Regions from separate parts of the Mus musculus genome. Here regions 1, 3 and 4 are each reported to be linked to region 2. Evidence: microRNA targets listed by miRTarBase, many of them from high-throughput screens and not tested one by one. Region 2 holds a microRNA gene; each other region holds the end of a gene's coding sequence.

What was found. The annotated mature microRNA mmu-miR-709 reads GGAGGCAGAGGCAGGAGGA and lies in region 2 at 5,005-5,023, shown strand. An mRNA with a match to its seed (bases 2 to 7 or 8) in the 3' UTR can be bound and repressed. Matches are read on the target gene's strand: a 7mer-m8 pairs with bases 2 to 8, a 7mer-A1 pairs with bases 2 to 7 and ends in A, and an 8mer does both.
Region 1: the mRNA of Efr3b is a reported target of mmu-miR-709. Seed matches in the 3' UTR shown: 7mer-m8 at 5,208-5,214, 7mer-m8 at 5,202-5,208 and 7mer-A1 at 4,236-4,242.
Region 3: miRTarBase lists Pfas as a target of mmu-miR-709. Seed matches in the 3' UTR shown: 7mer-m8 at 4,959-4,965 and 7mer-m8 at 4,953-4,959.
Region 4: miRTarBase lists Col8a1 as a target of mmu-miR-709. Seed matches in the 3' UTR shown: 7mer-m8 at 3,413-3,419.

The regions. Positions count from the first base shown.
Region 1 is chr12:3,959,769-3,966,912 of GRCm38, forward strand. It overlaps Efr3b (EFR3 homolog B), which reads right to left. Exons shown (of 23, transcript NM_001082483.1): 23 at 2,786-6,779. The coding sequence ends at 6,674. Pomc (pro-opiomelanocortin-alpha) reads left to right here. Exons shown (of 3, transcript NM_001278584.1): 3 at 125-875. The coding sequence ends at 700. Among named protein-coding and RNA genes, the nearest start is that of Pomc, 8.4 kb to the left of the region's middle.
Region 2 is chr8:84,081,163-84,088,162 of GRCm38, forward strand. It overlaps Mir709 (microRNA 709), which reads left to right and starts at 4,937; the gene lies at 4,937-5,024. Rfx1 (regulatory factor X, 1 (influences HLA class II expression)) reads left to right here. Exons shown (of 21, transcript NM_009055.4): 5 at 1-60; 6 at 1,486-1,599; 7 at 2,920-3,012; 8 at 4,411-4,505; 9 at 6,544-6,910.
Region 3 is chr11:68,981,913-68,989,071 of GRCm38, forward strand. It overlaps Pfas (phosphoribosylformylglycinamidine synthase (FGAR amidotransferase)), which reads right to left. Exons shown (of 28, transcript NM_001159519.1): 27 at 6,455-6,778; 28 at 3,789-6,361. The coding sequence ends at 6,051. It overlaps Gm32384 (a long non-coding RNA gene), which reads right to left and starts at 1,656. Exons shown (of 4, transcript XR_001780244.1): 1 at 728-1,656.
Region 4 is chr16:57,621,090-57,628,248 of GRCm38, reverse strand. It overlaps Col8a1 (collagen, type VIII, alpha 1), which reads left to right. Exons shown (of 4, transcript NM_007739.2): 4 at 1-3,993. The coding sequence ends at 1,338. Among named protein-coding and RNA genes, the nearest start is that of Gm51269, 14 kb to the right of the region's middle.

The sequences.
Region 1 (7,144 bases), not on the chromosome of region 2:
TGGGACCTCGGGAGTCCACACTGCTAGGTGTGATGGTCTTGAGGCCCAAACTGGAACCCGAATTAGGGTGCAGAAACGGTGGCCGCAGAGCCAGGCTTGGCTCACTCGCCTGGCCTCCCTACAGGCTTGCATCCGGGCTTGCAAACTCGACCTCTCGCTGGAGACGCCCGTGTTTCCTGGCAACGGAGATGAACAGCCCCTGACTGAAAACCCCCGGAAGTACGTCATGGGTCACTTCCGCTGGGACCGCTTCGGCCCCAGGAACAGCAGCAGTGCTGGCAGCGCGGCGCAGAGGCGTGCGGAGGAAGAGGCGGTGTGGGGAGATGGCAGTCCAGAGCCGAGTCCACGCGAGGGCAAGCGCTCCTACTCCATGGAGCACTTCCGCTGGGGCAAGCCGGTGGGCAAGAAACGGCGCCCGGTGAAGGTGTACCCCAACGTTGCTGAGAACGAGTCGGCGGAGGCCTTTCCCCTAGAGTTCAAGAGGGAGCTGGAAGGCGAGCGGCCATTAGGCTTGGAGCAGGTCCTGGAGTCCGACGCGGAGAAGGACGACGGGCCCTACCGGGTGGAGCACTTCCGCTGGAGCAACCCGCCCAAGGACAAGCGTTACGGTGGCTTCATGACCTCCGAGAAGAGCCAGACGCCCCTGGTGACGCTCTTCAAGAACGCCATCATCAAGAACGCGCACAAGAAGGGCCAGTGAGGGTGCAGGGGTCTTCTCATTCCAAGGCCCCCTCCCTGCATGGGCGAGCTGATGACCTCTAGCCTCTTAGAGTTACCTGTGTTAGGAAATAAAACCTTTCAGATTTCACAGTCGGCTCTGATCTTCAATAAAAACTGCGTAAATAAAGTCAAAACACAACTGTCCAGTTACACTATCACGTGACCAGATGCTAGAATGTAAAGAAAACATTTCTCAACCTCCTTGCCCCAGCAAACACTCTTGGTGGGGGACTAGATAGTTTGGGTGGCCCAGGGTGGTTCTCTGTCCAACTCTTCTAGAATGGCTGCTTAATTTGAGCCTGGCCCAAAGCCAAGTCCTACAAGAGTGACTGACCTTAGGGACCTGAAGCCAGGTGGCGCTACCAAGACCTATTCCCCACTGGGAATGTCTCTGGGATGTCACTCAGGAAGTTACAGGGACACAGGGACACTCTGCAATGTTGAGTCCTTATCTGTGACCCCAGGCAGGTTCCTGAACCCTCCCAGGGATTAGTTATCTGTCTCTTTATATTCTTGGTATAAGGGCTCTGGGGAGGATAAAAGGAAAATAGAGATTCCATCATTTTTTCAGGAAAATGTGAGAATTGAGAGGTGGTAGCCGGTCTGATTTGGTTATTCACATAAACTTTTTTTTTTTTTTTTTAAAGTGCATTTCTCCTTTCCCTTTATTTTTTAAAGATTTATTATTTATTATATGTAAGTACACTGTAGCTGTCTTCAGACACTCCAGAAGAGGGAGTCAGATCTTGTTACGGATGGTTGTGAGCCACCATGTGGTTGCTGGGATTTGAACTCCGGACCTTCAGAAGAGCAGTCGGGTGCTCTTACCTGCTGAGCCATCTCACCAGCCCTCACATAAACTCTTAAGACACACGGTCTCACCCTCTTCTTTATACCCCAAGGAGATAGATGCACTGTCCCTCGGCTCAAGCCTTGAGGGCATTGGTTTCCTATCTTGCTGTGTCTTCCCAGCCCCTTCCCCGTGATGTTCAATTTCATTCTCAGTTCTCCCTGCAGATGTCCACTAACCAACCTGCTTCCAGTAGCTTTCCTGCCCATGCAGACATTACATTATATACAATATACATTAATGCATATATTTTTAAAAGAGCTTGTCAGTCCCATGGCCCAATTTCTCATTAGTTGCAAGCTTTTGGGGCAAAATATATAGAGCATGAACATGTATAAAAAAAGGATATATGTAATTCTACATGTATGTATAGAGATGAACATGTCAATCATGTTCATTCCCCTGCCAAGCCTTTAGCTCATGTCTCCTGGGATTAAGGAAACGTCATGTCTGCTGGTCTCATTGTTACTCTTCAGTTCTTCATGCCTGGACCCCCATCCCATCCCCAGTGTCACCTTCGCCCACCTTCAGAATCTTTTTTTTTTTTTTCAATGCAAGCCTAGGTTCAAGACCACCTCTACTAGGCCAGGCATACACTCATCCAGTGGCCCTGTTTATTTTTAGGGTTCCCGAGGTCCTCTCCCTCTGTGCTGGAAGGCACGCTGTCTGGCCAGGATGGCAGGTGATTTGCTATGTGTCTGGTTTGTCCCCTCATCCAAGAGAAACTCCAAGCTCCGCAGGCCTGTGTTGTGTTGCTTCTGTCTCCTTGTGGTGTCTCTACAAAGTTGAGTCACACTTCTGCAGACACATTTACAGGGCATGCACACATACCCATCACTTTGATTAGACATCATAAACCTGGTATTTGTGTATTTGTTCACAAGCCCTTATGTCTGGTAGGAGTTCACAAGGACATGGTGAGCCCTGCGAGTCCTGGTGTGAAGGGGAGTCAGAAAATCTGATTAAGTTCTCACTAATGTGGGAGGTGGGGAATGGCCTGCACCCTCCTGAGGATGCTCCCTTGCTGGGAATCCACCCTTCAGGTTTCCAAATCTGTAATATCCTCTCCTCCCTCCTTCATTAGAGCCAGATGTAAAGTCAGGGTCAGTGGAGGTGGATAAATGCCAATGGTACACTTGATATTTTTCAAATTCTGTTTTTATCCACACAAACAGAAAAACGCTATTTTCTTTTAAGAATTCAAATAGACAGCCATATGGTGACAACATTAACATTTATTTGAAAAGGGCACCAACCACAGCTAATAGTTCTAAAAAATGACTTCAGAATACCCCCTTCCCTGGAAGGAAAACTAAGTTGATTCAACAAGTTTAAAACATAGAAGACTGCCACAGGTGCCAATTCTGTACTCACATATAAATATGTCAGCTATTATATATACAATGTTGGCAACTATAAACTACATCACACACATGCACGGACATTGACACATACACACACTCAGCCAGGCATGAAGGTCTCAAAAACTCGGACACACTGAGATGATGGGCTGCAGCATCTATGGGTGTGCACTTTTATACTCCATGTGCCAGACTCCAGTCATTAAGAGTTCAGAAAGGGCAAGTGCTGGGCTCAGAAGATCTCCGTGCTCCCTGAGGAGCCAGGCTGGTGCCCAGAATCACGATCAGGGCCTCCCATGATTTCCCTCTGCAGTCTTTAGACAAGACCCAGCTTTATAGGGTCATAGAAACCAGACTGTTTCCCCTAAATTTTATTCCCAGATTCCGAGGACAGAATTCTTGCTTTGGTGCAATCTGCTTGCTGGAGAAGGTCAAAAAAAGCAGACCCCTTCCCGACCTCCAAATCTACTTTTAAACACAAAGTTCAGACCCACAGCTTAGACCTTGCCTTTCCCCCAGGCCCCAAACACAGCTAAGCCACAGGGCTTAGCAGCTTTCTCTGTAGCAGGTTGGCAGGTCTATGACACCAAAAGGACAACTGGAAGGCACCACGACCCAGGGACCCTCAAGAAGTCTGGGGCTTCTTTTCAGGAAGTCAAGAGTCTTAAGGCTTTTCCAATCCTACTTCAGCTGAACTGCATCGTGTGGACCAAGACCAGTAACATATCCCATACGCACAGGCAGCATATGGGATATGGCTGCTCTGACCAGGGTCCTTGGTCCCAGCCTACGTTCTCCGGCTTTGCGTGAAGGTGGGAGCCAGAGGGGGCATTTCTAGGTTTTCTGATGAGGCCACTTAGGAGTCATGAAACCATCTATTTTAGTCAAGAGAAAACAAGAAACTGACTCAGCATAGGAAAACAGCAGCTGCTTCTGGATCAGGCATTTTCTCTTAATCTACTGTTTACACTTTTATGGTCAACCACGTTAACTCCTAACCCTAAACACACTCCCACCTGCTACATTCTGTCAGTAGGATGTCACTCTCTAGGCCAGAGCCCTGGGTGCTTTGATCATGGGGGTGGGGTAGGGACTGCTTGGCCTTAATAGGTTTGTTGGCTCCTTTGGATTCTGGTTTACAATAGGGAAAGAGAACAGAATTTGAGACAGTGCGATCAGACACCAGGGGCTAGAAAAGCATGGGCACTGGGCTGCTCCCCGGCCTCCACTCGCTGTGCTTCTTTTCCCTGCCTTGTGATGGAGGGACAGATCCTCCTGCACCCACCATCTAGACTTCCTGACTCTGAGGCATACTTGGTCACGATCAGATTCCATTTCCTGTCAACAGGCAACCCAGTATCCTACTGGATGTAAATTTAAATCAATTCTACCAAGAAGAGGGCACACAAGTGACCAGTTCTCTAAAAGCAGCATGTCCCTACTACACAGCCACGGCATGAAGAAAAAGAAATACTTAGACCGAGCAGCCATTGATTCTGCAGACATGAACGCTGTGCCTTTCTTCTGTTCCCAGGGCAAGGTGAGAGACAGACATATCTGTGTGGGCCTGGAGGCATCTGGTTCTGATGCTGGCTCTCAAAAGACTCCAAGGAAGTGTCTCTCCCAATCCACAACTAGGGTTAAGGTGTCTCAGGGGTGGACAATGACATCAGTGGGGAACAATAAAGAAACTAATGGACTCTTACTCTAGCTAAGCAGAGGATAGAGGATGTGGCCGGCAAGTGAAAAAAGACAGTTTTTAGCACAAGGCTTAAATTTTCTTAGTTTCTAAAAGGTTACTTGCCTTCATGCTTAAACTTGCCTTCAAGGCCATGCTTATAAACTTGGGTTGAGCAGTAGCCACACAGCTCCAAAGCCATGTGAGTGGTGTTGGGGTGTTGTCCTCAGGGACCTGAGATCATGCAGGCCATGCTGGAGCCGTGAGCCCGTAGCTCAGTGCAGAGAACATGGGAAAGAGTTGTATTACAAATGGGAAACTCTGGGGAAAGGGTCAGGAGTGCCCCATCTGTGATATTTATCACATATGCAACGAAAAGTACATGTGCTCAAGTTCTCCTAATTCTGGAAAATGTTGCCACCTGTCCTAGTGAGCAGGCTGTCACTATGCAGGGTCCCGAGGAGCTCAACTTCTCCTTTATGACCCCAGGCCACACTGCCTACAACCATACCTTAGAAATGATTCCTGCAGACCACAGAACCACTTCCCCTTTACAAGAAGCAAAATCTCTGCCTTTAATCCTAGCACTTGGGAGGCAGAGGCAGGTGGATTTCTGAGTTCAAGGCCAGCCTGGTCTACGAAGTGAGTTCCAGGACAGCCAGGGCTACACAGAGAAACCCTGTCTCGAAAAAAACCAAACCAAACCAAACCAAACCAAAAATCTCTGGAGCAATGTTGGTCCTGAGAGAAAAACAGCTTGGAAAACGTATGGGAAGTTTGAAAGGGAAAAGATGGACTATCTTGGACCGTGGAGTATGCCCACTGCTAGGCATTCTGAGAGGCACGGAGACACCACGAGGGACATCAGGAAAGGGCCAAACCAAGATAACTGCAAGTGGCCTTGTTTGCACCCACCCAGTCCTGGGTCAGCTGCTCCCAGCACACCAAGTCACATAGGGACAGGGAGGTAGCACATAGGGAAAATGGAAGCCAAAGTGATTCCTAACACCTCTACCCAGGCTACAAGCAAGGCCAATTATCCCCAGTGTCTCAGACTTAGCCCAAAGAGGGAAAATATTTTTTCAATCCTAGTTGTTAAATCTTTCTTTCCCCAAATTCTAAAGTGCCACTTGCTCAACTGCCTGCCTCTCTCTCAAGCCCTCACTACTGCTGGGAGCATCTTCCAGAGGAAGTGATGCAGACAGGCCTCAGGGCCCTGGCACTTCCTCCCCCCCTCTCCAGCCACCTAGAACCAGCTAGCTTGCTCAGCTTTCTCTCATCCCAGAGGCTGTGGAAACAAAGACATCAGGGACCAAACTTAACAACTAGGAAACATCCAGAAGAGAGAGAACCAGAGAAGACCCACCCCAAGCTTCCTCTGGACAGAGATGTGGGAAGATGCTACGCAGCCAGGACACAGACTCACCACACTCGTGCTTTGCTGAAGCTGCCACCCAGTCTGGGAGACCCAGCCCCTCTCCATCCCCAGCTCTTCTGCTAGCCTTGCTGGCTCCAGTGTCTGTCCCCAGCTCTGGCTGTAAGTCCTCAGCATTGATTAATAGTAGAAAAAGAAATGCAGACAACTAGAGAGTAGGCGGGATGCTGGGTAAGACAACCAAGACTTAAGAGGCGAGAGCAGACATCACTTCTGAGCTTTCACAGGGTCATTTCCCCAGGTGCCACCTCTGCCCTCCTTTGACCAACCATGTGGATATCAGGCTCCTTTCTTTGGGAGTGGCTGACACTCCCTCATAGACACATCCCCAATGGAGGCTTCCCAGGCCCTTCTGCTTCTCAATGGAGATGTCCTTGTGATTCTCTGTCCCTGGCTGATACAAGAGAAGACAGGTCAGATGCTTATTAGCCCAGAGGAGAGGTGGCTGGACTCTTCTCACGGAAGACGACAAGGAGGAAGGAGGACCACAGAGGACCAGAGAGGACCTTTTGCTCACTGTCCAAGGTGACAAGTTCTTAGCCATCCCAGCTAGATTTCCAAGGTGAGAGTGAGCAGGGGGGTGGTCCTCTTGCAGACTGTGTCCTCTAAGGAGCTCTGTCTCCTGGAGTTCAGTATACACACAGATCAGGAAACTTCATCTCATAGACAGGGATGGAGTGGTTTTGCGGCTGGCCGTAGGCTGCGCTGATGGTTCCTGAAGGGCTTGGAGGGGGCCTGGAGACACACAGAGGAGAGAGGTAGGAACCAAGAGCTGGGGTCCTACCCTGGTGCAACTGAACACAGCAGCTGGTTTTGGTTTCTCTTTAAAATGCATGCCACTCCACGAGTTCCCAGATTTTCAAGATGTTCTATGATCTTCAGCTCAGTCAAAACTCCCTGTATAGGCTCTACAGCAGCGGTTCTCAACCTTCTTAATGCTGCCACCCTTTAATGCAGTCCCTCATGTTGTGGTGACCCCCAACCATAAAATTATTTTTCCTGCTGTTTCAGAACTATAATTTTGCTATCGCTATGAATCATAATGTAAATATCTGATATGCAAACCCCCCAGGTTGAGAACCACTGCTCTCTGATGTCAT
Region 2 (7,000 bases):
AAGAGTGGCCAGGTCTCCCTGACGGTGCACAGTGCCCAGCAGGTGCACTCTGCTCCTGAGGTAAGTGTGCCTCACTGACGTCGTCCCATCTTTCTCTGTTCTAGCCATGGGCCCCAGCAGCATATTTGTCCCCCATGACCTTTTTTTGAGGCAGGGTGTTACAGTGCTATGCAGGCTAGCACCAACCTCCTATGTGGAGCAGGCTGGTCTCTACCGTGAGCTCCTCCCGTGTTAGTCCCGAGTGCTGGGTGGCAGGTGTGTACCGCTGTGCCTGGCTTCAGCTGGAGCTCTTTTGCCCTGAGTTCACTTGCAGCTCCTGAGTCCTACACCCTGCTCCAGTGACTCTGGGTGGGTTTCCCAGCTAATGTCTGCCTGGCCCTGCCATCCCAGCCGATGTTGAGAGAGCTGTAGTCCGGAAGTAAAAGAGTTTTCTCTTCCAGCTTCAGAGTGAATAGAGTCCCATCATGAGAGCTTGGAACACACACACACACACACACACACACACACACACACACACACACACACACACACACGAATGAGGAGAGCCTGGAGGCAGTGGGCTGCAGATGGTCTTGAGCTTAGATTAAGAGTGCAGGGCCAGACAGGGCCCTTTAATCCCAGCATTTGGGAAGCAGAGACTGGAATCTCCATGAGATTCCATATTGAGTTCCAGGACAGTCAGGGCTATTACATAGTGAGACACTTTCTCTAAATAAATAAATAAATAAATAAATAAATAAATAAATAAATAAATAAATAAATAAATAAATAAGAAGGAAAGAAGGAAGGAAAAATAATACAGGGCCAGATGCCAGGCTTAGCTGAGTCTTTGGGCAGGTCTCCAGCATTATAGCCCAGTATTTCCTGTGTATAACAGAGCTAATGGCACTGGGTTGCCACACATCTGCATACAGAGGCTGAAGCAGGAAGGTTTCAAGTGTGGTGCTAAATTGCATTTTATAGAGAGACCCTGTCTCAGGAAGAACTAGTAAAACCCATGATTCATCCACTTGCTCACATCAGAATTGCAGTCCACACTAGTGCAGCATGCCCTAGAGCAAGCACAGGCTCACTGTGTGGCCCTGGGCATCTCTCTCTGGGAAATGGGGGTCTTGAAGCATCCATTGCAGCAAGCAGTGGGGGCAGCAAGAGGTGAAAGTAGATTCAGTGTTGTTACTACTGTCCCATTGGGAAGCCTGGCAGGATCAGGAGGAGCTGGGTCACGGGACCAGACTAGCTCCCAGCCTACTCTTTCTCACCTTTGCTGCAGCTCTTCTGATATAGAAGCTACAAGTGGCCTCTGGCCCTCATGGAGGCTGAGACACCTGGAGCCCCATCTAGGTAGAGTCCTGCAGAGCAGTATTTGTGGCTGCTGTGGGCTATCCCACCCTCTCCAGAGTCCTTCTGAGGCAGGTTGTTAGAGCCTGGGTGCCCCAGACACAAGCACAGCTGGCCCTGACATTGTCTCTGTTTGTTCTCTTACAGAGGTCACCAGTGCAGGCCAACAACTCCACCAGCAAGACAGCTGGGACTCCTGCGGCCACTGTGCAGCAACTACAGGTCCACAGCGTCCAGCAGAGTGTCCCTGTCACCCAAGAGGTGCCTGACCAGGGCGGGCAGTAGCTAGGGCCATGGGTATAGGCCAAGTAGCCACCTATGTCTGGGTCCCTGGCCTGTGGGAGCTAAGCAGATGGACCCAGCTCCAGCCTACCATGTGAGCATTTGACGAGAGCCTCTCTCTGCCTCTATCTAGATTCAGCGTCCCTAGTTGTGACAGTTGTAGAGGTGCCTCACAGGGCACATTATGGCTTTGAAAACACACACTGGTAGGCCAGAGAGATTGCTCAGTGGGTAAAGCACACTTGCCACCAATCCTGATAACTGAGTTCTGACTTCTACACACACAAACACACACACACACACACACACACACAGAGACAGACAGACAGAAAAGAAAAGCAAAGCCTGCAGGGTGAGCATTTGCCCATCATACACAGGCCCTGGGTGTCATCTCTTTTCTGCAAAACCAAAAAGCCAGCTTTCTGGGGAGAAGAAGCACCAAGGCCTTCAGATTTTACATCTGTTTTAATTTTTCTTCAGATTTTACATTTGTTTTAATTTTTTTTTAGTGAGCATGGGTGTTCTGCTTGCATGTGGGTCTATGCACCATGTTTGTGCCTAGACGTGGAGTTAAAGCTGTGTCGGTGCTAGGAATTGAACCTGGGTCCTCTGGAAGGACAACCAGTTTCCTTAACCACAGATCCATCTCTTAAGCCTGCCATTCTCACGATGTGCTCAACCTTCCAAAGGAGACTGAGTTTCCTAATACCATCACAGTGGCCTGAGCAGGCCAAGATGCAAGGATGGTCTTGTATCTCCTTGTTAACTGCTTAACTCTTGGGATTCTTGGCTTTTCAAGAAAACAAGACATGGTTTGTGTGTCCTCATAGCCTCAACTACAAGAGACTCAGGCCAGATCCCCACTTCAAGGCCAGTCTGGACAATGTAGTGAAACCCTGATTCAGAATAAAAATTGAAAAACAGTGCTGGGGTGTAGATTAGTGGTAGAGAGCTGGCCTAGCATGCATAAGACCCCAGGTTCCCCAGTACCAGGCTGAAAACCTCAAATAGGCCCGAGCTGTAGGCTCTTCCCTAGAGGAAATGGGAACCTTCTAATTCAAAGGATCCACAGGTATTCCCTTCCCGTGCAAGAACCACTCTGAACCTCCAGATGGCAGAGGCAGGCAGTAAGAGACCTGGAAGGCCTGTATTAACTGGACCCCACACGGAAAGGCTGCTCTCTGTCTGAAGAATGACAGCCTTTCCCAAGACGGCTGTTCTGAGCATGCATGGGACAGGCTGCCCTAGTTGCCATGGTTACCATACTCGAACTTGCCTCTCCTTGCCCTTCTTTGCCAGAGGTCAGTAGTCCAGGCCACTCCACAGACCAAAGCTGGCCCGGTGCAGCAGCTGACTGTGCAGGGACTGCAGCCAGTTCACGTTGCTCAAGAGGTGCGTGTCCTATCTGTCTATGTCGGGGCAATCAGACTAGTCCTGGGCTGTGGCTGGAGGTACAGGCACCTAATCCAGAGGGAGGAATGGAGCCAGCTGGGGACCCTAAAGGGCAGACAGTGGGGGCAATTGAGGTTTGAAGCCCTGCAGAAGTGAGGTTTCACTCTAGCCCTCGGCTTCAGACTTCATCCTGAATCCGTCCCCATCCCAGCACCTGACCACTCAGGACACAGGTCTTGTTGAAAGAGGGCTGGATTCGAATTCCGCTTCTTTCTGATAGTGCCCAGTTCGTTCCTCTCTTCTCTAAGGAGATCCCAAGTGGGGAATCTTCATTCGGGTGGCCATGAGTTCACAGCCGGGTGATACCCCAGTGTCTCTGTTTGTCCTCCAGAGCTCAGGCAGTCAGTTTCCCGCTAGGAAGGCAGAGCAGCAAGAAACCCGGCCCACGCCGCCGCCGGAGCCGCCGCCCCGGCCTCCCGGGCCTGGGCCAGTGTGCTGCGGCGAGGTCTTGCAGCTAGGCAGCGAGCAGCAGCCGCTCCATTACGAGCCGGGTGTGGAGCAGTGGGTGGAGCTGGTGGGCATGCTGCCCCCACACCTGCTCCTGCCGCAGCAGAGGGTGGTCTTCGAGCCACAGCGGGGGCTCTCGGCCCGAGCCAGCCCCGACCTGAGGGTCAGGATCCACAGAATGCCCCAGGTGCTAGTGTTCGGCACCGCCCTCAAAGTAGGTGGCGGCGGACAGCGGAGGCACGGCAGGGGGCGGAGGGCGGGCAGGGGAAGGGCATTCAGCCCAGCAAGCCGCTTTGCCTCGCCTTCAAGTCCAGGCTCCCAGGCTTCGCCCCTGCAACCCAAGGCGGGTGGGGTGAGATGTCTTTACCCTGTCCCCCAAAGTGCTGCCAGTCATTCTTGTTCTGCCTCAGGGACTGGGTCCCAGACACGGCTCCTGCAAACCAGGGTTGGGGGTGGAGGTAGGCTATCCAGTACCTGCCCCTAAGGTGTTGTCAGTTGTTTCTAGTTGTTCTATCAACTGATCCCTCTTCAGGCTCCACCCCTAATCTGCTTGGGAAACCTTTTTGGTTTCCAGAAAACCCCCAGGCCCGGTTTTTAGATTGCAAACCCACCTCTCAAGCCCATTGCAGAATTCTGTCTGGTATCCCCTCCTTTGCTCATAAGCCTTAGAAACCTCTTTGCCAAAGCAGAGAATCCCAGCACCTCCTGTTTTCCAGCCACAACTGAGACCTGGCCCCACCTAAGCCTCCTACCTAAGCCTCCCACCTCTGGCCCATGTTGTTCAGAAAACCATGATGTGCAACCTTCTAGATGGGGATGTATGTGGGCATCAGTGAACCCGTGGGTGGTGGTCAGCCCTGACCCATGACCCTGCTTTTCCTCCTGCTTCAGGTACAGCAACTCCCTCAGGTGCCTGTCCCACACGTGTATTCCAGCCAGGTGCAGTACGTGGAAGGTGGCGATGCCAGCTACACAGCCAGCGCCATGTAAGTGGGCAGAGGGTGGAAGGAGGGCTCAGATGTGGTTAGGGCCACAATTCTAACTCCCAGCTGGCCCCCAAGGCTCAGGTGATAGCCCCACACCTGTGGGGTGCCAGGAATATAGGCAGCTGGTAGCAGAAGAGACACTGGCCCATTGGGAAGGCACCTCCACAAATTAGGAGCTGTGCAGTTAGATGGATCTGGATTTTAGGCAGGAAAAGGGGAAAGAAAAAGCATACATATATGTATTTATACATACATTTTTACAACATAAACTTTTTTTGAGACAATGTCTCTCTGTATAGCCCTCACTGCCCTGGAACTTGATCTGTAGACCAGGGTAGCCTTGAACTCAGAGATTTGCCTGACACTTCCTCTCTCGTGCTGGAACCACAGGTTCTCAATCTGACCCTCAGTGTCCCACAGAGTAATTAGTGTGTCCCGTTTCTCTGCTTCTACTCAGAAGTGCTCTGAGCATAGAACTGTCCTGTTTGAGCAGCACTGGGGAGGCAGAGGCAGGAGGATTGTCTTTTGTTATATTGACTTATGTGTGGGGAGAGTGCATGTGCTGTGGTGCAGGTGGAGATCAGAGAACAACCTAGAGGAGTCCGTTTTCTCTCTCCTTTACACAGGTTGCAGGGGCAAATCCAGTTCCTCGGGCTTGCATATTCTGTCTTACAATTTTTCTTGGGGGTTAGGGAGATAAATCAGTAAATGGCTTGCTTCTTGCTTATCAGACCTGAGAAGCAAGGTCATGACCTGAGGTCAGAACTCAAGTACTAGGTAAGAGGTTCATGTGGTGAGTCTCTGACCCCAGAGCCACCTTGCTGGCCCTCGTGTGTGTGTGTGTGTGTGTGTGTGTGTGTGTGTGTGTGTGTGTGTGTGTGTGTGTGTGTGTGTATACACATGTGTTCGAGTGTGTGCATGGGATGATGGGGGGGGGTTGTATGCACCATGTATTGAGCGTAGTGCCAATGCTAACACTGGAGTCTGTTTGCTGTGTGGCTTTGGGGATCAACCCCAGGTCTTCGGTCTTGATGGCAAACATCCCCACCCACTGAGCCACCTGCAAGGCTCAAGTTTTCCTGCTTTAATCACTGTCACATTGGGAGGGCTCAAAGAGCAAAAGTGAGAGGTGGCCCTGCCTGTCCCCTCCCCACAGAGAGCCTTCTGCCTACACACAGGGTGGTCTTTTCCTCATCCCAACCTCTCGTTTCTGGCTGTCCATCGGTACCCAGTGGAGGACTCAAGGCAATCATGTTGCGTCTCCTCTTCCTGCCTCACCCCCTCTAGTCTGCAGCCTGCAGAGATGGGCCCAAATGTTAGGGTGGCTTGCTTGCTACAGTTGCCCCTCTTAGATCTGCGGCTTATTACCCTATGCGGCACTCAGGACATATTCTGAGTTGGAGGGGCAGCTCCCTGCCAGGAAGAGGTAGCCAAGGCGGCCCCTCTGCCTACCCTGCAGTCCTTTGTACTTTGCCTTCCCTCCTGTATCTCCCTTCCCTGGACTGAGAACTGTTTGTCGTTGTTGCCGAGGAAGTACGTTCTGCATTCTGGACCCTGTCTTGTTTTCTCCTCTTCTGCAGTAAGGAAATTGATTCCTGTGCTGGAGTGCAGTGGTTCAGTACCAGTGAGTGCTGTGGCTCAGTACCAGTGAGGAGAGTGATTCCTGTGCTGGAGTGCTGTGGCTCAGTGCCCAGCGAGGGCTGGTTCAATGGCTCAGCAGTGCTTGCTGCCGGGCTTTACAGTCTGAGTTCAGTCTCCAGGACCCACAGTGGAAGGAGAGCCCCGCCTCCCACAAGTTGTCTCTGACCTTTGTGTGTATGCCACGGAACACATGTGCCCCTCTCCAAGTAATAAGTTAATATAAAGACATGTTTTAGAAAACAAGAAAGTGGTTGCCCATCCAGTGCTCAGGCTGTCCCCAGTCCCTTATATGTGAAGGTGCCACACTGGTGTTTCTGTGGCTTCTCTGGTCCTCTCCTGGAACCCCTGCCTCCTTGTACAAGGTGGTGACCATTGCTTCCTGTCTGCTTCTTGGCAGCCGCTCTAGCACCTACCAGTACCCGGAGACGCCTATCTACACGCAGACGGCAGGCACCAGCTACTATGAGGCTTCGGGCACGGCTGCCCAGGTCAGCACGCCGGCTACTTCCCAGACGGTGGCCAGCAGCGGCTCAGTGCCCATGTATGTGTCCGGCAGCCCAATTGTCGCCAGCTCATCCAGCAGCGAGGCTGGGGCCAGCAACAGCAGTGTGGGTGCAGGGGGCAATGGGGGAGGCGGCAGCAGTGGTGGTGGCAGTGGCGGCAGCAGCGGCAGCGGAGCAGGCACCTACGTGATCCAAGGCGGCTACATGCTAGGCAATGCCAGCCAGTCTTACTCCCACACCACCCGTGCCTCACCAGCCACAGTAAGTGTTCGCCTTATTCAGAGGTGAGGGTGGGGGGAACACTCGAGAAAAAAACCTGGCAGTACTCAGAGAGCAGAAGTTTGGCCCAAG
Region 3 (7,159 bases), not on the chromosome of region 2:
ACTACTCTTCCAGGCCAACACGATTGCTATGTGGTCAGTATATAGCTTCCACACTGGACTCTCTCCACCTCCCATCCTCTTTCCTTCTCTGCAGCTACTATAATCTCTAGGTCACAAGTTTGGCTGAGAGTAAAACTCAGTACAGTAGCTTGTCTAGCATGCATGCAGTCCAAGGCTCGATTCTGAGCATCATACAAAGCCAGCTGTGGTCGTGCACTCCTGTAACCTCGGCCCTCCCTCTGGAGGTGAGGGATGGAGGACTGGGAGTTCAAGGCCACTCTCAGCTATACAGTGAGTTTACAGCCAGTGTAGTGTACATTACACAAGCACCTATCTCAAAACAGCCAAATCACAGATCTGTTCATCCCTGCATCGCTACATCCACCTCTTCAACTGCTTTCCCACTGTTTTTGGATCTTGTCCTGATTCCTTAACATGTTCTGCTAGGTGTTTCTGGGTTTGTTTCTAGTTGGCTCTTCCTGGCCCAGACAGACTCATTTTCAACCATTTGGTTCCTTAGTTAGCATACCCTGTCCAGCCTCTGAAAATATTGTTTTCCTATAGTGCTGCCACACCTCTTCAGCGCTCTATACAGGCAAACTGTTGTGTTCTTTCCTCCAGAACCCTGTGCTGTTGAGAGCATTTTAAAGTCAAAGAAAGAAATCACTTGTCCTGGTTCAGCTTCCTGCCAGTGTGCCACAAAGCCAAGGTTCTTCACAACCCTTACCTGGTAGACAGGCCCCAGCCAGCTTCACAGACAGCCCTCTGTGCCACCCTTCCTGCTCCTGAAGCCAAACGGACAGATGTTGTTACTCATGTCTGTTTGTGCTGGGTGACCCTGTGCCAAAGGCAATCCTAAAGACCAGTTTACCTGGATTAAGCCCTAGAAATGCCTAGGTCTAGCCAGCAATTCCTTAGCTTCACCTCTGGCTGTTTGCTGCCCCCGAGTGGCCAACCATAGACTTGCTTGTTTAACACCACAGGGTCTCAAGAACATCAGCTATGAGACAACAGTTAGACCCTGGCACAGCTCCTGGAGGCAACATCTTCAGTCCACAGGCTCACTGCTGCCTAGTACCCACATCCTTGTATGGGCATGTCTTTTGTTTGTGGTGGTGGTGGTGATGGTGTGTGTGTGTAGGAGAGGGAGGGAGAGAGAGAGAGATCTATTGAGCCCCGTGACAGTCTGTAGTGAAGCACAGAGTGATGCTAGAGAGCAGAGGGTACCTGGTGGTTGGGGTGTTCCTAGAGAAAGCAACTCTCATCTGGTAGTCCCCACTTGGCCCTCTTGTCCACAAGCCTCCTGCTGGCTGCCTGCCATCCTTGCAATCACCAGGTCACAGACAGAAAGTGACAGTAATGTGCCTAATTTTGTGATATATCTATCCTCCTATAAAACTGAAGAGAGACAAGTTAGAGAAGGGAGAGGAGAGATACAAAGGGAGAAACGATGAGAAACTAATGTCAAGTTAGTGTCCTTCATTGGCCTGATGACACAGAATGACTGGACAAACCAACCAAAGAGAAAGGAGAACTGCAGAGCAATCTACCTACAAACCCAGTCCACTGACACCACTTTCTATTAAGGAAAAATCTTTAAAAAAGAAAAGAAAAATCCACATGTGTGTCTAGAGAGATGGCTCAATGGCTCAGAGGTTAAGAGCACTGACTGCTCTTCCAGAGGTCTTGAGTTCAATGCCCAGCAACCACATGGTGGCTCACAACCATCTGCAATGGGATCTGATGTCCTCTTCTGGCATGCAGATGTATTTACAGATAGAACACTCATTTACATAAATAGATGAATCTTTAAATGGTTACATGGTTTATCTCATATTGCTACCTCTTCGTTTACTTAAAGTACATTGTTTTGTTTGCATGTCTGTCTGTCTGTGTGGGGGTGTCAGATCCTCTAGAACTGAAGTAACAGTGTAAGCTGCCATGTGGATGCTGGGAATTACTGGGAATTGAACCCAGATCCTCTGCAAGAGCAGCCAGTACTTATAACCATTTTTCGACTGGGGACAGCACAAGGCATCTTACATAAGTAAGATGTACCTGCTAGAGTTTCCCAGTACCATGGTGGATCCTCAAGGATTCACCGCTGGAGGAATCACATTTTAATAAAGCTTACAAGATTAGGTTTTAGTTGTTGTGCCCAGAGACTGAGTTACCATTGTTTCTGAACTAAGTTTGTTTTGTGTTTTCCTTCACTCAGCTAGCTCATCTGGGTTCAAGAGAGAAAGGTACGGCAGCAAGGAGTGGGTTTGCCAGATGTGCACCACAAAGGCTGTAGGGGATTTGAAGCATGGGCTTGGTGTGGTAGTGACCCACCAGTGAGAACCTAACAAGCTGGGTGGAGAGATTGTGGAGTTCTGGGTCAAGAGTCTCCATGAGATTAAAAACAGGTTGGCCATTGCTTGCCAGTGCATAGCTGGCCAGACCCCAAAGGCACAAGCACAGGAATGTGACGTTCTTTTTTTTTTTTTTTTTTTTTTTTTTTAAAAGATATTTCCTGCAACAATCTCTCCAGCCCCAAGGACAAATACTTAAAAAAACAAAACAACAAAAATCTATGCGAGCTGGGTGGTGGCGGCACACACCTTTTATCTACAGAGCAACTATAGGACAGCCAGGGCTACACAGAGAAGGTACCTGGGAAAAATAAATCAACTTTTATATCTACTTATTTATTCCACATAGACTTACTGACACTGTTAGGACAGAGTTCCTGGGACTGTGGAGTTTACACTGCTTGGGAGACATATCTTTGATTAAAGCATTGGGTTTTTGTTTGGTTTTGGTTTTTCTGAGACAGGGTTTCTCTGTGTAACCCTGGCTGTCCTGGAATTCACTTTAAGGTGGGATCACAATGGTGATTTGGGCCGAGGTCTCTGTGCTGCTGTGACAGCCTTGTATATAACCAAGGATTTGTTTAAAAATCTGTTAGAGGTGAAACGAGGACAGGACTTGCTTAAGAGGTTTAGATGCTATTGTAAAGGGTGTTTAAAGATTCAGGTGTAAATCTGGAGAGATGGCTCGGCTGTTGAGAGCACTTGTTCTTTCAGAGGACCTGGTTTCAATTCTGCAACCATTGATAACTCCAGATCTAGGGGATCTGAAGGCCTCTTCTGATACCAGGCACACACAAATACAGGCAAACCACACAAGTGTAAAGTAAGTCTTAAAAGGTGAACGCAAGACCAGGAATGACTCATCGGCCCTTGCACGCACAACACACTTCCATTGGACCACTTGGCATCTTTTTCCATTTATTGGAAATTTTCCATTAACGAAGACTAAAGTATCACTGAGTGGTTTATATGACTAAAGGAATGTACCACACACCTGTCTACATGTGTGCTAACAGGTGTGTGTGCTTGTGCGCATGTGCCATGGCGCATCAAGTACCACACACCTGTCTACATGTGTGCTAACAGGTGTGTGTGCTTGTGCGCATGTGCCATGGCGCATCAAGTACCACCACACCTGTCTACATGTGTGCTAACAGGTGTGTGCTTGTGCACATGTGCCATGGCGCATCAAGTACCACACACCTGTCTACATGTGTGCTAACAGGTGTGTGTGCTTGTGCGCATGTGCCATGGCGCATCAAGTAAGCCATCACAACTGCAGAGTTGGTTCTTCCCTGTCACCACGTGAGTTCCAGGGGCTGAACTCAAAGCATTAAGCTTGATAGCAAATACCCCCACCCACTAAGCCAGCGGTTCTCAACCTGTGGGTCACGATCCTCTTGGGGTCTAAGGCCATCGGAAAACAGACATTTACATTATGATTTTTAATAGCAGCAAAACTACAGTTATAAAATAGCAACCAAAACTTTATGGTTGTGCCCACAATAACATGAGGAACTGTATTACAGGGTTACAGCATTAGGAAGGTTGAAAACTTCTGCACTAAGCCATCTTGCCTACTCAGGCTTACAAAAATACTTTCATAAATACTTTAAATATATAAATTTGAGACAGTGTCCTGACTAGCCTGGAACTCACTAGGCTGGCCTTGAACTTACAAAGATCCACCTGCCCCTATCTCCTAAGTGTTGGGATAAAAGGCATGTACCACCATAAGCAAAATATATATTCTTCCACAGCATCAAAGGGAATGTTCACATGTCCAAAATGGTACTTAGGTCAGAACACAGCACTTGGTAGAAGACCAGGATTTCAAGATTACTCTCAGCTATGAGTTCAAAGCCAGCCAGAACATCATATGGGTCTCGAAAATACAAACAAAATCCTTAGAATCACTCTAGTTAGGAAAAGTTACTTTGCAATGCAAAACGGAGAAAGATCTGACTTCCCATCTCCAAATATCTTCCTTTGGTGGTGCTGGACGGGAATCAAACTCAGGAAACACAGATACTAGGCAAGTGTTCTAATACTCAGATGGACATACAACCTGCAGCTTAACACCTATTCACCATTAGTACCTTCTTGGGGTGCTACTTCTGCAGAAGCACAAGTGTTCTGCATTCCCCCAAACCCTGAAATATTTAGAAATCCAACATGCTAGTCTGTTTTTATAAGGAAACTCCTTTAATCATGACATCGAGCTTCTTAGGGGGCTACCCGAGTCTACCGTACAAGTAAGTAGGAAGCAACGGATGATGAAGGTGGCTGTCGGTACAACAGCTACTACCAAGACGTGATCTGTGACTGCAGGATCTTCACAGGCAGATGTAGCTGGGTGGGTAGGGCGCCTTGCTGTTCATTTTAAGTTGGAACCAATCATAGACAGTTTATCACTAAACTTTGCTTTGTTAACTGGGAAACACCTCTCAAATACCTTAATCTTTATGATAGACACATAAGTTACCCAGCACCTATTTAGGTTGGCAGTACAAGCTAAGGAGCTATTATTATTTCAATCCTATTAAGACTACAAACAAGCCGGGCGTGGTGGCGCATGCCTTTAATCCCAGCACTCGGGAGGCAGAGGCAGGTGGATTTCTGAGTTCGAGGCCAGCCTGGTCTACAAAGTGAGTTCCAGGACAGCCAGGGCTACACAGAGAGACCTTGCCTGAAACCAAACCAAACCAAAAAAAAAAAAAAAAAAAAAAAAAAAAGACTACAAACTCCATTAGGTCAGTACCAATGTCAGGCACCACTACTGATCAAGCAACAAGAAGAAAAATGAATGGCCAGGCAGTAGTCGCACATGCCTTAACCCCAGCACTCAGATGGATCTCTGAGTGCGAGGCCAGCCGGTCTACAACATAAGTTCCAGGACAGCCAGGGCTATACACACATAAAAACAAAACAAAACAAAAAAACCCAAAAAACAAAAACAAAAACAAAAACCCAACCCTGTCTTGAAAAGCCAAAACAACAAAAAACAAGCTCCAGGGCTCTCTGCTCTAAGAAGGAAGGTATCAACTACTGTAAGGTGGCTGCTAAATTAAGAGAAGCAAGAATCAGGAATGTGATCTGAGATAGGCACAGGTCAGCGCCTTGAGCATGGACAGAAGCAATGATTCCTAACAACTAGCAGTGCATGTCTGAAAAGGGATCCGGAAAGCTGCTCTTTTCAGCTGGGCAGAGGCTGGGAGGGACTGATGTACATTATTCCTAGACCCTAAGCCAATGCCAAGCGCCTTGGCAACTCACCCGGGGTAACGCAAAAGAATTCTGAGTTTAGGGCCAGCCTGGGCTATAGACTGAAAGCCGATCTCACAAAGCCAAAGAAAACGAGGATGTGAGAGCTCACTCAGAGCTCTAACCAAGAGAATGAAGGATCACAAGGCGATGATCCCGGGAGGGCTGCCAGTAAATCTCTGCCCACCCCTCTGCCTGTCAGCTGTCCTCGGAGCCTGAGCCGCTTGCTGAAGATCCATGTTAAACTCAAGAGCTGAAAGCAGCTCTTGCAGGGGCAAGGCTAAAATGAGCAATGCAGCTGAGGTCATCCCAGCATTTTGGTTCTTGCTAAGATGCTTTTGGAAATCACATGGGATACTCCTGAAAGCAATGGGGAAAGAAGGCAACGGAGTCAAAGGGTGAGCTGTGGGCCAGGGTGGTCATGCGGCCTCCTCAGCAGCTGTCCTCCTGGGTCCAGTTCCTAGCATTGATGAAGAGCTGCAGCCACGGGGAGGTGGGAAGAACATCAAAGGGAGAGGGTCGCCATGCCCACTGCCAAAGCCTTACAGCCCGCTCAGGGTGCGGCATGAGTGCCAGGTGTCGGCCATCTTGGGAACAGATACCAGCTATGCCCCCTGGAGATCCATTGGGGTTCAGAGGGTACTGCTCTGTGGGGTTCCCATCATCGTCTGCCCAGTGCAGAGGAACCAGGCCCTTGGCCTCGATCTTGGCTTGGAGTTCAGGAGAAGAAAATGCCATGTAGCCTGGAAGTGAAGGAGAAGAGAGTGAAGGCCAAGTTCCTTCAGGCCCAGCCCCAGCCCCAGCTTGCAAACCCTCCCCTGCCTTCCCAGCCTGACCTTCCCCGTGAGCACTCCACACGGGCAGCACAGAGCCTTCCATCCCTCGGAGCATCAGGGCTGGCCCCGGCTCCACACGTACGGTGGCCCATCGGGACTCGAACCGCCCAGACAGATTGTGGCGGAGCAGGAGGCCCGGCTGTGTTGGCTGGGAGTCCTGGCCTGGCTCAGCTTGCTCTTCACTGGGATCACTTCCCACCCAGCCCAGAAGAGCCAGCAGCTGACAGCCATTACACACGCCCAGGCTGAAGGTGTCCGGCCGCCTTCGGAATCGGCCCAGCTCTTCCCTGGCCTGTGGATTAAAGGTCACCGCAGCTGCCCAACCTAGGAAGAACAGTTAAGCCAGAGTGAGAAAAGGCCTGAGAAAGGGCTGGAGAGATGATGGCTCAGTGGTTAAGAGCACTGACTGTTCTTCCGAAGGTCCTGAGTTCAAATTCCCAAAACCACAACTATCTGTAATGAAATCTGAGGCGCTCATCTGGTGCATCTGAAGATAGATATAATAATAAAGGGGCTGGAGGGATGGCTCAGTGGTTAAGAGCACTGACTGCTCTTCCAAAGGTTCTGAGTTCAAATCCCAGCAACCACATGATGGCTCACAACCATCCATAATGAGATCTGAAGACAGGTACAGTGTACATATATATAATAAATTAATAAATCTAATAAATAAATAAATCTATCTAAAAAAAAAAAAGCCGGAGA
Region 4 (7,159 bases), not on the chromosome of region 2:
GGCCTTATTGGTGTGCCAGGAGTTCAAGGACCTCCTGGGATGCCTGGAGTTGGAAAGCCAGGTCAGGATGGGATCCCGGGCCAACCAGGATTTCCGGGTGGTAAAGGGGAACAAGGATTGCCAGGGTTGCCTGGACCCCCAGGCCTCCCAGGGGTCGGAAAGCCAGGTTTCCCAGGACCCAAAGGGGACCGGGGTATTGGGGGTGTTCCTGGGGTTCTTGGGCCGAGAGGGGAAAAAGGACCCATTGGTGCTCCTGGAATGGGGGGTCCACCTGGAGAGCCAGGCCTACCCGGTATCCCGGGTCCCATGGGCCCTCCAGGTGCTATTGGTTTCCCTGGACCCAAAGGAGAAGGTGGAGTTGTAGGACCACAGGGTCCACCAGGCCCCAAGGGAGAGCCTGGCCTCCAAGGCTTCCCTGGGAAGCCAGGTTTTCTTGGTGAAGTAGGTCCCCCTGGCATGAGGGGTTTGCCTGGTCCTATAGGACCCAAGGGAGAAGGTGGTCACAAAGGGTTGCCAGGGCTTCCCGGTGTTCCAGGGCTGCTTGGACCCAAAGGAGAACCTGGCATACCTGGGGATCAGGGTCTACAGGGTCCCCCAGGGATTCCAGGGATCGTAGGACCTAGTGGCCCTATTGGACCCCCTGGGATTCCGGGCCCCAAAGGAGAACCAGGCCTCCCAGGGCCCCCTGGGTTCCCTGGTGTAGGGAAGCCAGGAGTAGCAGGACTTCATGGGCCCCCGGGGAAACCTGGTGCCCTTGGGCCTCAAGGCCAGCCTGGCCTTCCTGGACCCCCAGGTCCTCCAGGACCCCCAGGCCCTCCAGCTGTGATGCCTACACCATCACCCCAGGGAGAGTATCTGCCAGATATGGGACTAGGAATTGATGGGGTGAAACCTCCGCATGCCTATGCGGGCAAAAAGGGCAAACACGGAGGGCCAGCCTATGAGATGCCTGCGTTTACTGCCGAGCTGACTGTACCTTTCCCACCGGTGGGGGCCCCAGTGAAGTTTGACAAGCTGCTCTACAACGGCAGACAGAACTACAATCCGCAGACAGGCATCTTCACCTGTGAAGTCCCGGGTGTCTACTACTTTGCTTATCATGTTCACTGCAAGGGAGGCAACGTATGGGTTGCTCTCTTCAAGAACAACGAGCCCATGATGTACACATACGACGAGTACAAGAAGGGCTTTCTGGACCAAGCATCTGGAAGCGCAGTACTGCTTCTCCGTCCCGGAGACCAGGTGTTTCTCCAAATGCCTTCAGAACAGGCTGCTGGACTCTATGCCGGGCAATATGTCCACTCCTCCTTTTCAGGATATTTATTGTATCCCATGTAAAAAAAAGAGAAAAAATAAGAGATTTAATAGAAGAAAAGAAAATGACACACCAAAAAAAAAAATCAATTGAAAACAATGCTTCAAAACATTTATAATAGTTGGAAAGTTATATTTAAGTGAAAGTTTGGACCATCATGTACAAATAAAAACTAAAACGCATGTTTAGTCCTGTGCACAGCAGATTGTAATGGGATCATGGGACCGAGGTATGGATGAAGTACTGACACGTGTGTTGTACCCAGCGGACTCATTAGCTGTTCCATGTTATATGATTTCATAACCTGCTTATTCAAATCAGTCAAAATATCTCAGTCTGGAGCATCATCGCTAATGAACAGTATTCATTCTTTGTGCTCCCTTGTAAAGGTATTTTTGAATATGCCTTAAGAGGTTGATGGTGAGAGTTACATACTGTATTTATTTGCATGCTTTCCTCTCTATTTCATGCAGGTGTTTTACTGTGGGATTTTGGAGGGTTCTTCTGTAGTGCAGGGTCCATGGTAATCTCTAGTCCAAAGGATATTTCTCTGTGTTAGAGGCAATGCTTTGAGCTGCAGGACTACCTAGTCAGAATTGTGTGTGGATGTGTGTGGTGTCCCCAAAAGAAAAGCTATACCAATGGCCCATTGTGTATCTGCTCAGCAGTCTACTTGCCTAGCAACTGGGTGAGATGCAGGGCAGGAGATGCTAGCCTGGGATGCAGGGCAGAGCCCACAGGAGCTCATAGTTTAGCTCAGAGTCATTAAAATATCAACCCATCTAAAGGGTTTCAGTTCGGAATTTTCTGTAACTTTTCTTTTTTCCTTCTTCACCCTTCCACATAATATATAACATAGCCTAAGCAATATAAACAAATCTTTTTTTTACAAAGCCTTCCCTCAAACAACTTTGCCATTTCATGAACATTTATTATTAATAGCAATTATCAGTTGTGTAAAATAAAACAAAAACACTAATGTGTCCACAGAGCCAAGTGTAGTGAGGTTTCACCTTGTCTGCACCTGTCTTAGTAGCTGTCATTTTTTTTTCCCAGTAACTATGAATTTTAAAACTATGACTTATGCCATGAGGTTCCAAAGTCAATTGCCAAAAATCCAAACCATTCTTTTTTTTTTTTAATTTGGGGGAAAAAATCAGAATTACATAGGAAAAATTATATTTTAAAAGAGTAATTATAAGGTTTGATATTCAAAAGCAGGCATGTTGCTTCCAGCAATAGGGACTACGGTTGTAGGAAGATAATTGTTTCTTTAACATCCGCCTGGGGAAGAGATAGCTGGAGTGTCATAAGCCATAGCACCTCAGGCCTACGATGCCACTGCACGCTTAGCACCACAGCCAAACCATGTTGGAAAAGAGAAATTGTTTTTTTTCAGATTCTAATTAAGGCACATAGTAGGTTCTTTGGCTGATGCTCAAAACACGACCAGTTGAACGTTTTCCGTTCATCTGCTCTTGGTTGCTTAGGGGAATAATGTGGAATGAGAGCAATAGAATGTATTCTACTTTTCTCAAAAGTTAAAAACCAGGAGCTGAAGAGAGAGACATAGATTGGAAAATGCACAGATAAATACAGTATAAAGCATGGTCTATTTAAAATCTGAATTATTTTTACCACCACAGTTCTTCTTGCCACGGCTTACTATTGGTCTTTTCCCTTTATGAGGCACAGACACCATTTTTTTCTTGAATTTTTAAAAAAAGAATGTGTTTATTAGCACAAGGTTTTTCATTCATTGTTAATTACACAAGAGCACCTTCGAATCCAAACGAATTTCCTACCAAACCTTCATTTGCAAAGTAAACAGCATGTCTTTGGACAGCTTTCCTTGGGGTCGCTCCTAAGGACACTGGCTTATAGCTGGTCACTATGGAAATCATATGGGTCCCTCGCTCTTTCTGCTCAATAGCTACGTTGAAATGGTCTGGCCAGATGGGTTGTAAAGTTGCTTTTATCTGTACATGTATGGTATTTTAGTTTCCATAAAGAAAGACAGAAATTATCTCTTAAGTTAAACCAAATTTCACTTTTTGAGATATCTTCCAACTTATTTATTGGTTGTTACTCAATTGCCTGCCTCTGTGTGTGTGTGTGTGTGTGTGTGTGTGTGTGTGTGTGTGTGTTATCAGGCATATGCTTCTAAGCTTTTAAATGGAGGAGGAGCAAAAATCTATGCCAGATACTGTATATTCTACCATGGTGCTAATATCAGAGCTAAATGATACTCCATTTAATTTAAAGAAGAGTTTTAAATAATTATCTATGTACCTGTGTTTCCCTTTTGAGTGTTGTCCATCATGTCCACAGTGGTGTGAAAGCAAGTGAATCAAGTATGTGTTCTACTTTCTAGGGACAGTACTATGATCACTTTTTAATACAAAATTAACTAGAGCTTTTCCAAGTGAAATGGACCAAACTGGCATTGTTCTATTTAAACAGAGAGTTTTAATGCAGTATGACGTCCCACAGGGGAAAGGAATGTCTGTAGAGGACAGTTGTCCTCAAATATTTTACAGAAACAAAGAATGATGAAAAGACCGGTAACTTGCTTGAGTTCCCATGAATAGATTTGAGACTGAATGGCAAATCAATTTTGTATTTAAATTTTTTGTACTGATTTGAAAAACAGATCATTAAATATCTCTAAAAATATGTTTCCTGCCTTGTTCATAACATTCAACTGACGCTATTTGAACATAAAGTGTTTCTTAGTAACACATTGTAGTAATCAGCCACTGTATACAGGGTCTAAAAATAATCACAGCTTGAGCAGGACAGATTATTCCTCTTGAGTTTAGTAACTCTGTAAATAAGCAGTCCAGATCTCCTCTGAGGACCTAGTCATTACCCCACATTCTTTCTACATTCTTGTCTCTCTAACCAGGTGTGTTGGCCTCCCTCCCCATTGGTGGGAGAAGTTGGACCTTAGCAATCACATGCCAACCTGTGGGAGGTTCCAAACCTTTTATCTTTAAGAAATCCAACCCAGCGGCTTCGATTCCACCTTCCATACCAGCAGCCCTGAATTTAGTCACATCATAAGGTGCAAGACATTAGTAGTTCTCAGTCAGCCCTGCTGAAGTAAAGGCCAGTTCTGTTCAGAAGAGAGAAGGAAGAACAGACTGTAGCCTCCTGTATTAGTCAACCTCACCATCACGGAAGAAATTGCCATAGATCTCTTCAGGAGACAGCAGTCTTCAAATACTCCAAGTTGAGGGAAAATAGTTGTGAGTGGATCTTCCAGGCTGAAGCACATGTGTTTCAATAAGTTAAAGCACTAGTAAGAAAAGCATTCTATTGTGATGACAAGTTCTAAATGCCTAGACTATGATAAAAGGATTGTTCAAATCATTGTAGGAGTGAGTGTGTACCACCAGTCTGAGTGGTTAACTGGTTTGAACCATCTTACTAGAAGACCAACATCACTTATATCCTGACAAGGCTCAAGTTTCTCTCTACAACCAAAGACACTACCATCACATTACCTGTGGTCAGGGACAGGATCTTGGTTGTTGGCCTCTTATTCAAAGGATTGAAATAAGAGCTCATACTGAGAAGAAATTTTATCCAAAAGTAAATCAATAGTACAGATCAGGAAGAAATAAACTTACCAAGTAGTGACAGTCACATATATGAGAAAGTATCTGGGCTCTTAGTTATTGTTTGAGACATCCTTGGATGGAGTTCAAGAAGAGGGAATAGCATGAGCAGCTATTATGATCAATAAGTTAGTTACATAATCATTTTTCTGATGTAAATGTCCCATCCCATAGTGTCTTAGTTTCTATTGATGAAATTAAATACCATGACCACAAGCAACTCAGGGAGGAAATGGTTTCTTTGGCTTATGCTTCCAATGGTGGTCACCATTGAAGGAAGTCAGGACAGGAACTCAAATAGGGCAGGAACCTGGAGGCAGGAGCTGATGCAGAGGCTATGGAGGAGTGCTGCTTACTGGCTTGTTCCTCATGGCTTTCTCAACCTGATATCTTACAGAACCTAGGACCCCCAGCTCGAGGATGGGACCACCCACAATGGGCCAGGCCCTCCCCCATCAATCACTAATTAAGAAAATGCTCTACTGGCTTGCCTACAGCCTAATCTTATGGAGGCATTTTCTCAATTGAGGTCCTGCCTCTCAGATGATTTTAGCTTGTGTCAAGTTTATGTAAAACTATCCAGCACATGCAATGCATCTGATTTCCATCACATGGATGCCCAAGAATGCATAGGCATATGATCTGATCGTAAATAAGGGATTCTTCCTAAAGCTTTACTTGAGGACACAATTTTGGCCTGCTGTGAACACACACAAAATCAGTTCAGCCTATGTCTGACTTTCTATACTTTGTACCTACATACATAGGAATCACGTTTGAAGAGAAACAAAGATTGATTGTTTTTTTAGCAGAACAGAAATTTACCTTTTTGTTCATAGAAGGGTATATATGTGTAGCAGGTGAAGGTCCAAGGTGGATAGATGCATTTTCCATGAGCGTATGCAGTGTATAGTACATGCACATAAAAGAGCTAGGCTGGTTGTCAAGTGCATTATTAGAACGGAGGGTATACATAGCTCAAACCAAGTAGAATCTTGTGTTGCTAAACTCTCCCATATGTGTTGGTCTGTGTGTCTACCTCACTGCTGGGATGCCAGAACCCCACCAACAAGTGGCTCAGGGAAAGCAGAATTCACTCCAGATGGGGTCCCAGCCAGTGTTCCAATGGACAAGAAACAGTGAGATCTAGGACTGATGCTATGGTTCTCAATCTCCTATGTACCCAGCTGCCACTGGGGACCTTGAGGAGTTGGGGAAAGGCGTCCAGAGGCTTGAGCTTCCCCTACATGCCAGGCAGGAAAGGGATGGCTGAGACCAGGATGTAGATGAATTTGGTTTGCTTCTGGGTGAGTGCCTAAAAGTTCAGAGGGACTGGAAGAGAGGCCTTCTATAGGAGATCTAGGTGTGGCTCTTCACTTTAAGGCCTCCCTTGCAGTAATCCTTGATGAAGGAGAGGGTCCTTGCTTGTCCAAATGGTTTTGTTCCTGGCAGATGTGAATGCATAGATCTTACTCAGGGTGAACCAGGGATGAAATACCTTTTACAGGGAGGGATGCCCAAAAAGGGAGGCTCATTGTGTAAGCACTTGAGGGCCTATCTAGATACCTCACTAGCAAGGAGAACTCTAGGTTTTTATATTATGTGACCAGTTGTGGTGGTCCTCTCAATGTGGTGTCATGGTTACAAGTTCCAGGACAACTAGAGCCTGGTTGGGAGCTAATTCAATGCCTATTATTCTCAATGATGAGATAAGCCAGGGTTTGAACCTGCTTCAGCCTTACCAGTTCTTTTGTCTGGTGGCATGGTCCTCTTGCCCCACACATACGATTGCTGTCTCAACCTCTCTTTGATGAACTTTCCAATAACTTATTAGGGGAACTGAAGGCAGAAGGTTGGTCTTCTTTGAACTGCTTCATGATGAGTTGAGGGACACTTCCAAAATGGTGTGTGTGTGTGTGTGTCTGTCTGTCTGTCTGTCGATTTGTCTACCCTAAGCTAAGAAAAGGAAGGAAACTGAGATCAGGGTCTAACAAGATTAAACCATGTATCCAAGTATGAATAAAAGAAATGATGTGATAACAAAAGAAAGGGATCAGAGAGATGGGTCAGTGGTTAAGAGCACTGGCTGTTCTTACAGAGATCTGGGTTCAACTCCCAGCACCCACATGACAGCTCACAACCATCTGTAACTCCAGTTCCAAGGAATCTAATACCTTCGTCCATCTTCCATAAGCACAAGGCAAGTATACACTGCATATAT